Macaca fascicularis: one gene and its partner. The protein of the gene in region 2 binds, or shares a complex with, the protein of the main gene of each other region. Links are inferred from orthologs where the notes say so. Each region holds a gene or a part of one and is shown on either strand. Other genes may lie near its edges.

The links.
Region 1: the proteins of TUBGCP3 (region 2) and TUBGCP2 are in contact, whole or in part, in a cryo-EM structure (PDB 8Q62), measured with the Homo sapiens proteins. The link is inferred for Macaca fascicularis from reciprocal best matches to the Homo sapiens genes TUBGCP3 and TUBGCP2. Residues at the interface, in NP_006313.1 of Homo sapiens: Glu272, Asn273, Cys274, Ser286, Leu287, Asp289, Thr290, Val292, Arg293, Glu296, Trp299, Ser361, Thr363, Leu364, Arg365, Leu368, Val369, Tyr372, Lys375, Ile376, Lys379, Ala382, Ala383, Asp386, His387, Ala402, Tyr403, Lys405, Thr406, Gly407; in NP_006650.1 of Homo sapiens: Gln172, His173, Pro175, Ile176, Phe177, Pro178, Trp180, Arg184, Ala186, Leu187, Ile188, Gly189, Phe191, Leu222, Tyr223, Val226, Val228, Asp229, Gly230, Arg231, Glu278, Ser281, Phe283, Gln287, His290, Ala291, Ala294, Arg297, Val300, Lys301.

The regions. Positions count from the first base shown.
Region 1 is NC_088383.1:142,360,475-142,364,729, forward strand, and holds part of TUBGCP2 (gamma-tubulin complex component 2), read right to left. Parts: intron 2,976-4,255; coding exon 2,768-2,975; intron 2,488-2,767; coding exon 2,288-2,487; intron 1,942-2,287; coding exon 1,752-1,941; intron 410-1,751; coding exon 264-409; intron 1-263. UniProt on the Homo sapiens protein: Component of the gamma-tubulin ring complex (gTuRC) which mediates microtubule nucleation.
Region 2 is NC_088391.1:102,961,407-102,965,661, forward strand, and holds part of TUBGCP3 (gamma-tubulin complex component 3), read right to left. Parts: intron 1,371-4,255; coding exon 1,181-1,370; intron 1-1,180. UniProt on the Homo sapiens protein: Component of the gamma-tubulin ring complex (gTuRC) which mediates microtubule nucleation.

The DNA of each region.
Region 1 (4,255 bases), on a different chromosome or scaffold from region 2:
CTTCTAGGGTCAGGGACAAAACAAAGTCCTGGCGATGGAAACCTGATGAAACCTGGCAACAGAGACCATCTCACGGCTTAACTCAGCACTGCAGCCCAGCTCATGGGCCGGTCCTGACCTCGGCCCCACATTCACGGACACCCAGGCTCAGGACGCCCACAGGGTGAGGCGCAGGCTCCCGCGGGAGGGCCTGGGCTGCAGGAGACTCTCCAGGCAGAGCTGTGCTGCGGCCCCGGGCCAGGTCCCCGCTGTGTGCACCGCACCTGTGCTGAGGATCTTGTCCGCCACCTTCTGCAGAAAGGAAGGGATCTGCTGCTGGACGATGGTGTACCGCTGGTCCCAGTACTTGTCATTGTAATCCTCCTGGATCCTCTCCTTCCGCAGCTCGTGCTCCTCGACCATAAACTCACTAAAACCACAGGGAGTGCTTCGGTCACAGGCAAAGCAAGGGCGCCTGTGAGGCAGACGACACACTTCTCCAGGCCGGCAGCGTGGAGGGACCTTAACGGAGGCCAGCATACTTCCAAGTAACGTTCCACAAGGGCCAAGCCTAACCTACCAGTTATTTCTCAACTGTGGGCTAAAACAAACCTAGGGGCCGAGCGCGGTGGCTCACACCTGTAACCCCAGCACTTTGGGAGGCTGTGGTGGGCGGATCACAAAGCCAAGAGATCAAGACCATCCTGGCCAACACAGTGAAACCCCGTCTCTACCAAAATACAAAAAAGCAGCCGGGCGAGGTGGTATGCGACTGTAGTCCCAGTGACTTGGGAGGTTGAGGCAGGGGAATCACTTGAACCTGGGAGGTGGAGGTTGCAGTGAGCCGAGATCACGCCACCACACTCCAGCCTGGCAATGGAGCGAGACTGTCTCAAAAAAAAAAAAGAAAAAGAAAAAAAAGAAAACCAAACAAACCTACAAACCTCACTCTGGAACGGAGCATTTAACCTGGGCTCAGGGAGAATGCAGGGTCCGCAGAGCTAGGTGGGAAACTGATTTGTCTTTATCTGCACCTGCCTCTTTTTGGAATTTAGCATTTCCTTCCATGATGAACCCGGGCAACAAAATGATGCTCGTGTGGGGTGCGTGGGGCCAACACGGACAGAAACCAGACATCTCCACGTTGTCATCTGAACAACCTCAAACATCATCTGCTTCGAGTGCGAAGGTGCTTTGTTTAAAGGTGCCCATTGTACCACATTGTATTTGGTCCGTTAGGGAAGACATAATATGTCCACATCACACATGCATCTTCTGAAAATATTTCAACAACGGTACGTCGACATGATAGACGTTAATACAACGCTTTGGGAACTAACATATATTTATGCATTTAAATATATCTCGCCGAAGAGAAGCCGACAGACCCCACCAGATCAGGAAATCCATGCACCAAAGAGGCTGAAGGACCTAGCTGGAGGCAATTTAATGTTCTGCACACAAAAGAATAAGGCCATAAGCAGCTGGGCCATTCCTGTCCTGGGCCGCATGGGCAGCAGCAAGTGGACGCCTGTCTGGTGTGTGCTTTCCTGAGACCACAAGCAAAACAAGGCCAGAGCCCCCCGGAGAGGGCAGCACGCGTCCTCCATGTCCCGGGAGCCCTACCTGTACGGGACAGGGCAGCACGCGTCCTGTGTGTCCCCGGGGAGCCCTACCTGTACGGGACAGGGCAGCACGCGTCCTCCGTGTCCCGGGAGCCCTACCTGTACGGGACAGGGCGGCACACGTCCTTTGTGTCCCGGGAGCCCTACCTGTACGGGTCGTGGATGATGCCCCTGTAGATCCACTTCTCCAGAACCTCAAAGTAGGGAGCGCTGGCCGCCTTGGTCAGGTACAGGCAGAGTTCCTGCGCCTGGCTGTCCCCTGTGTAGCTGAAGCTCCTGTCATGGAGCAGGCTCAGTGTGGACCCCCCAAGACACTCGCCTTTGTCCACTGAGGTGGCTGCAGGGAGAAAGAAAGGCTCACTGCCGAGAAGGAAGTGCACGCCTAGCCTAGCAACAACACTGCTGGGGCCCCACATGCTTCTCCAGCCTTCTTACTGGGACGTGCTGCTGCTTCTCTGGGATACGTATGAACTGTATGGCTGTAGCTGCTGATTTAAGCTGACCAGTGAGAGCCTCCAGGGCTTTCCTCTTGCAAGTTAATAACACATGGAGCAACAGGGGCTTTGGCCGCACGCACCTGCCCTGGGCGGCTGCTCCACAGCCCCTGTGGTCTCTCCTCACACCGGGTGCTGTGTTGAGACACCTGCCACCCACTGCCCCATGCCCCCCGGGCGGGCACGCACCGAGGGAGGCCAGGATGTCCATGGTGCGCATGGCCGGCTGGATGTAGAACCAGAGCTTCTGCAACGAAAGGAGGCCCTGCCTGTGCAGCTGCTCCAGCTGTGACACCAGGATCAGGTGCTCCTTCACCAGAGTGCGCATGGCGGCCGCCAGGGCGTGGTTCACCTGCCCGTACTCGAAGGAAGACTTCTCTTCAATGAACCTATGAGAAAAGCTGTCAGACTTCCTCAAAAAGGCAAGCTGCAGGCACATCCAACGTCTGACATTCTAAGTCTCATCCCAAACAGGAAGCACATGACTCACTCGAACCCCACATCCCAGAGGGGAACTTTTGCCCCTAGGAGGAGATGAGTCAGGACCCTGGACGGTGACTCACAGACCCTCCAAAACTGAGTCTGGCACTGTCCCCATGGTCATCAGGACGGGACCCAACCCCTCCCCCACAACAGGGCACGCCCCCAGCGACCGCACCCGGTGCCCACCTGGTCACGGTGGAGTAGCTGGCAGCCACCGGGAGGATCCTGTTCACCAGCTCCCTGATGGACAGGTCCAGGTTGGGGTCCACGAGGAAGGTCCGGCTCTGCCTCCCAGCCAGGGGCTGAGCAGTGACGTACCTCCCGTCCACGCCCACCAGCACGTACAGCAGGTCCTCCACCACGGCCGACTCCTGCGAGGCCAGGGGCAGCGTGCCTGCAGGCACAGACAGCGCTGTGGCCGCGGCCCCCACTCCCACGCCCCCACAGCCACGTGCCTCCTCCGCGGGTCAGTCTCACTCTTGCTCGTCTTGTTTATGGGTATAAAAGGTCGGCCACTGCACTTGGCTTTGACTGACCCCACTGGGCAGCCACAGGCTGAGTTCCGGCCACCACAGGACGCGGCCGGCCTGGGAGGCGGAGGGGCTTGTGTCAAGGTCTCACCACACTGGGCTCTGCGATGCTCAGATAATGGCTGACATTTGAAAAGATGAAGTTAGGAGTTGAAAAGGCAACTCCAGCAGAAGCAGCACTTTCAACATTCGTAAGTACAACTTGGTAAGTCTGGGTTACTCTGGTACAAAAAACCTTGTCTTCAAAAAGTTATCATTTATACGTTAAGAAACGCTGATAATTTCTATCCACACAGCATGAGACGGCTGCAGGACACACAGCTAAGTTTCCTCATGAGGACAGCCACAGGCCGTCACCTACCAAACCCCTCACGTCCCAGGACCAAGTTCTCAGTCCACAGCCTCAGGCGGGCCCTGCCTGGGGGGCCAGGAGGAGCACCAGAGGAAAGCACGATGTTGAAACTGTCCCCACGTGGGCCTGACAGGGCCCCGTGCCAGCCAGACCACACCCAAACCAGGCCCTAGCAGCTCAGGAAGGCTCCAAACAACACGCTTCCAGTTTACAAAATCACTGTCGGCCTCACACGTCTGCTGGGAAGTGTCCTGTACTGCAGGCCTCAAGACTCTGAGCGCAGCTGCAATCCGTCACCAACGCAAGCCCTTCGGCAAAAGCCTCAATCACGATGCAGATCCACATTGTCCTTGTTTTTTTTTCCTTTTTGAGACAAATCTTGCTCTGTCACCCAGGCTGGAGTGCAGTGGTGCAATCTCAGTTCACTGCAGCCTTGAGCACCTAGGCTCAAGCGATCCTGCCTCTTAAGCCTCCCTCAGAGCTGGGAACACAGGCGCATGCCACCATTCCCGGCTAATTTTTAAATTTTTTGTAGAGGCGGGGTCGGGCCGTGTTGCCCAGGCTGGCAGATCTACACTTTTCAGCTTCAAGTTCCATTTCTGTCTATTACTCCAGCGGCTTCTCAGGATGGCCAATAAAACAGGGACCCCGAGGTCTGCCATTCCTAAAGCAGCAGGTGTGGCGTGGGGGTTCGAGAACAGCAAGTGCATCTTCCAGGAACTGCCTCTGACTCTGCACCACTTCCTTTCCACCCTGTTGGCCTCATTCACCCACAGCCACGAAGTGGCCAGT
Region 2 (4,255 bases):
AGCAGCTGGAACTTGCTGGAAATGCAAATCCTCCACCCCACACCTGAAAATCTCATTCTCTAAATTGGGCCCACAAGCAAGCTTTCTAGGCTGCAATCCACTGAAACTTGAGGATCTGAGGCCCTAAAACAGTTGCCTGGGCAGCACTGGCAGGGTTTAAAGGTAAGTTATGATTTTGTGTCTTTTTTTTTTTTTTGAGACGGAGTCTCGCTCTGTCACCCAGGCTGGAGTGCAGTGGCCAGATCTCAGCTCACTGCAAGCTCCGCCTCCCGGGTTTACGACATTCTCCTGCCTCAGCCTCCCGAGTAGCTGGGACTACAGGTGCCCGCCACCTCGCCTGGCTAGTTTTTTTGTATAGTAGAGACGGGGTTTCACTGGGTTAGCCAGGATGGTCTCGATCTCCTGACCTCGTGATCCACCCGTCTCGGCCTCCCAAAGTGCGGGGATTACAGGCTTGAGCCACCACGCTCGGCTGATTTTGTGTCTTAAAGGGAACATTTAGCTTACTTTAAGTGTCCTAAAAGGAACACCAAAAAATAACTTTCATTCTTCTAAACACTTGGGTGAAAATCTCCAGGCCCAGGCTGTGGCCCCCGGGGGTGCTCATGCCCAGGCTCACACTGCCTGGGCCAGGGTCTGCACTGTCTCTAGACCCAGGAGCATAGCAGGCTCTGGTCCAGAACTGTCTCTGTCTCTACTGGTGGAGAAGGACACACATTTAACTCTGGAAGGGAAGATGCCATGAGAAATGTCAGGGAGCAAAATAAAAAGGGCTGTAGTTTTGTTTTTATGTGAAACATTAACTACAAATATAAAAGTAAAATTCAATTTTAAAATGTGTATTTTATTTTTCACTTTATTTCAAGCTAAAGCTAAAGTTAATTGTGATTAGACAAACTCCTCATACATGAAGACTGTAAGCGCCATAGTTTTGGTAATAAATGCCAGTTTCTCTTATGAATAAAGCACAGAACATGACAATGATGCTCTGCTGATAACCAGAGAAAAATAAAGGGGCTTTACCTTTTGAAAATTTTACATTTTTTTCAGATTTTATTTTAAAAAGTATGCTCGAAGAATTCAACTCATTTTCCTTTAATATAATTTATTCTTTTAAACACAAGATTCCTTCTCATGTCAAATATATTACTCATTTATAGAAATGAAAATAGTGTCTTACTTTAGCAAGTCCATTAAGTGCCTTATGAAGTCTCCTTGACCCAGAAGCAGGTACCGTCTCATTGCCTGCATGTGGTCCAACAAGCTGTACTTTTTATTGAGAACATCCAACAAGTATTTGCTGGTCTCAAAATAAGCAGCATCAATTTTCCCCTGAAATGCATTTTCTAAGTCTGTGAACAGGTCTGCAGCTGTAAAGAACAACAGGGAAGAGAACACATGCATCCGTAGCCTGTGTTTTCACAAAGGAGAAATGAAGGTACACACACCCAGACTCAGGGCCAACCACGGTCTGTGGCACCAGTAACAGACCGACCTCAGGCACAGGCAGCTGGACGTTCCACGAAGGAGACCAGAGCCCTAAGACCACAAAGATGAGAACACTTCTGCCAGCTGAGTTCACAGCAGACGCCTACGTGTGTGTCTTCATGATTTCCAAATCCCTTAATACATTGGAACTAACCGGAAGTCTCACCTAAACACACTGGTAACAGGGCAAGCCAGAGCTGAGTCACCCGTCCATACCCATAAGACGTTTCCATAAATCAGTCTTAAGACCAAAACAGCACATGCTTATTAAGCTTTGTGAATTGTACAACTCGCAAAAGTTGAGTAGTATCACGCATCATAGAGTGAACTCCACAGAGATTGCTGGAGACGTCTAGGGGACAAACCCAGATTGTCACCAGTAAAGACGCCTGACTCTACGCAGTAACATAGGGGAAGAAAGCATTTCCATAGCTTTCTATTGAGAAGAAATCGCAGGTGGAGACTATACACATAACAGAGCTTCTTACAATGCTGATTTACATCCGCAAAGCACAAAACCGGTTTTAAAACTTACATGAATACATCAGTCATTAAACCCACAATAACACTTAAGCTAGACAATAACCCCAGTGGGAGGAACAACCTCAGACTGAGAGAAAGCAAAACGCTAGCTAAAGACTAAGCAAGGACAAGAAAGGCGAGAGCTTCTGATTCAGTTTAAGTCTCTTTCCATTATCTGAGTTACCCAGTTTAAATATATCAGAAGACTCCTAAGATTTGTTTGTCCTTCAGAATAAGAAAGCAGTTAAGACAGGCCTATTTTAGTGTTGCTATTATTCCAATTACACACCGGTAGTAAAAAACTAAGATGCTCCCAGTGAAGGAGCTGTAGTTATCTGAGGATGAGTGAGGTCTGCCCGGAGTCACGACACCACGGAACCCCTTGATGAGCTCACCACGGTCCTGTTTTAAGGGCATGGGGTTCTATTTCCGTTGATCTACGTAATTTTAATGATATAAAGATTTTTCTCTGGAAATGTTTTCATTATTCCCTTGAGTCATTAAACATTTTCATTCCAAAGAGAAGGTTTGAATCAGTCTTAATCAGTCTCAGCCCAAACCAGCCTATGAAGACACAGAACCCAGAGCCTCCTCGGAACTCTCTTTGCTCCTTCAGGGTTGAGGCATCTCTCGTGCTCCAGTTTTTAAATTTTCACTCTTTATTCTTTATTCACACTTTTACATCTTCATAACCTTTTCACAGATAAAGATGAATCTGACATGTTCTCCTGTTTTTTGACCATTATTAGGAGTCTTTTAGGATTTGTTTTTTTTGTTTTTTTTTGTTTTTTTTTTTGAGACGGAGTCTCGCTGTGTCTCCCAGGCTGGAGTGCAGTGGCGTGATCTCGGCTCACTGCAAGCTCCGCCTCCCGGGTTCACGCCATTCTCCCGCCTCAGCCTCCCAAGTAGCTGAGACTACAGGCGCCCACAACCGCGCCCGGCTAGTTTTTTTTTTTTTGTATTTTTAGTAGAGACGGGGTTTCACCATGTTAGCCAGGATGGTCTCGATCTCCTGACCTCGTGATCCACCCGCCTCGGCCTCCCAAAGTGCTGGGATTACAGGCTTGAGCCACCGCGCCCGGCCGGAGTCTTTTAGGATTTGTGTCTTCTATCTTCCCAGTTATACTATAAACACTCAACAGCAGAAACTTTGCTCTCCACTGACCCTGGCAGCCGTGGACAGGACGATGGGGACAGCAGGAGTCATTTCAGAGAAGCAGCAGCGCCCTGTCGCCCTCAGCATCTGCAGGGGACCAATCCCACGACCCCCACAGATACCGAAATCCCCTGATGCTCAAGTCTTTTCTATAAAACAGAGCAATATTTGCACCTAACCTACACACATCTTCCCATGTACGTTAAATCACCTCTAAATTACTTATAATATCTAGCACAATGTACATGCTATGCAAATAGCTGTTACACTATTGGGGTGGATTTTTTTTGTATTTTTTTAATGGCTGCATTTTTTAAGTGTTTTTGATCCTCAGTTGATTGAATTTGCAGATGTGGGGCGGTGGGTGTGGGGGCCGCCGGCAGTACTGCAGACTCAGAGCTCGCACAAGCAGCAGCAACCTTCATGGAGAGTCTCCCGCACAGCAGGAGCGTGGGGACGCCCTGTCCCAGGCACAGGCCATTTCTGCGCCATCTTCTCTAGGCACCATGAAAGGTCATGACTTGAACACAACTGCTCTCCTGGTTCTTCTTCCTTCCACCTCTTCAATGTAGAAGCATTTCCCCAAAATCTGCACTGGATCACATCTATCTCTATTCCAGGAACGAATCTGGGGTATATGGACCTCCCCCCCAAAAAATACATGTAAAATGGTGTGTGAATGCTTTAGGGTGAGAGGGGCCATGGCTCTCACACGCCTGAAAAGGGACCTGCCCTGGACCACACGGGAGCTCTTGCTACACCATCCTGCCTTGTCCTGAGTTACCATGGTGAGATAAATGCTTCCAAAATCTCTATACTTGGCCCTAACTTTTAACCAGAGTTTCAGTACAGCATTTCCAATACATGCTGGAAGCCTCCATTAGTAAGTCCTCTCAGTTACTGAAAACCAAATTGCCCTAAATGACACTCCTCTCTCAGTGCTATCCTCTTCCGAAATTCCCTGCTGCCCTTCCGACTAGGCCTCATGAGCTCAGAGTTCTAGTGCCATCACTGACTTCCTGATCCCCAGCCCTCCTGTCCAGAGAGCCAAGTCCTGTTAGAGAACATCTGTCATTCCAGTAACACCCG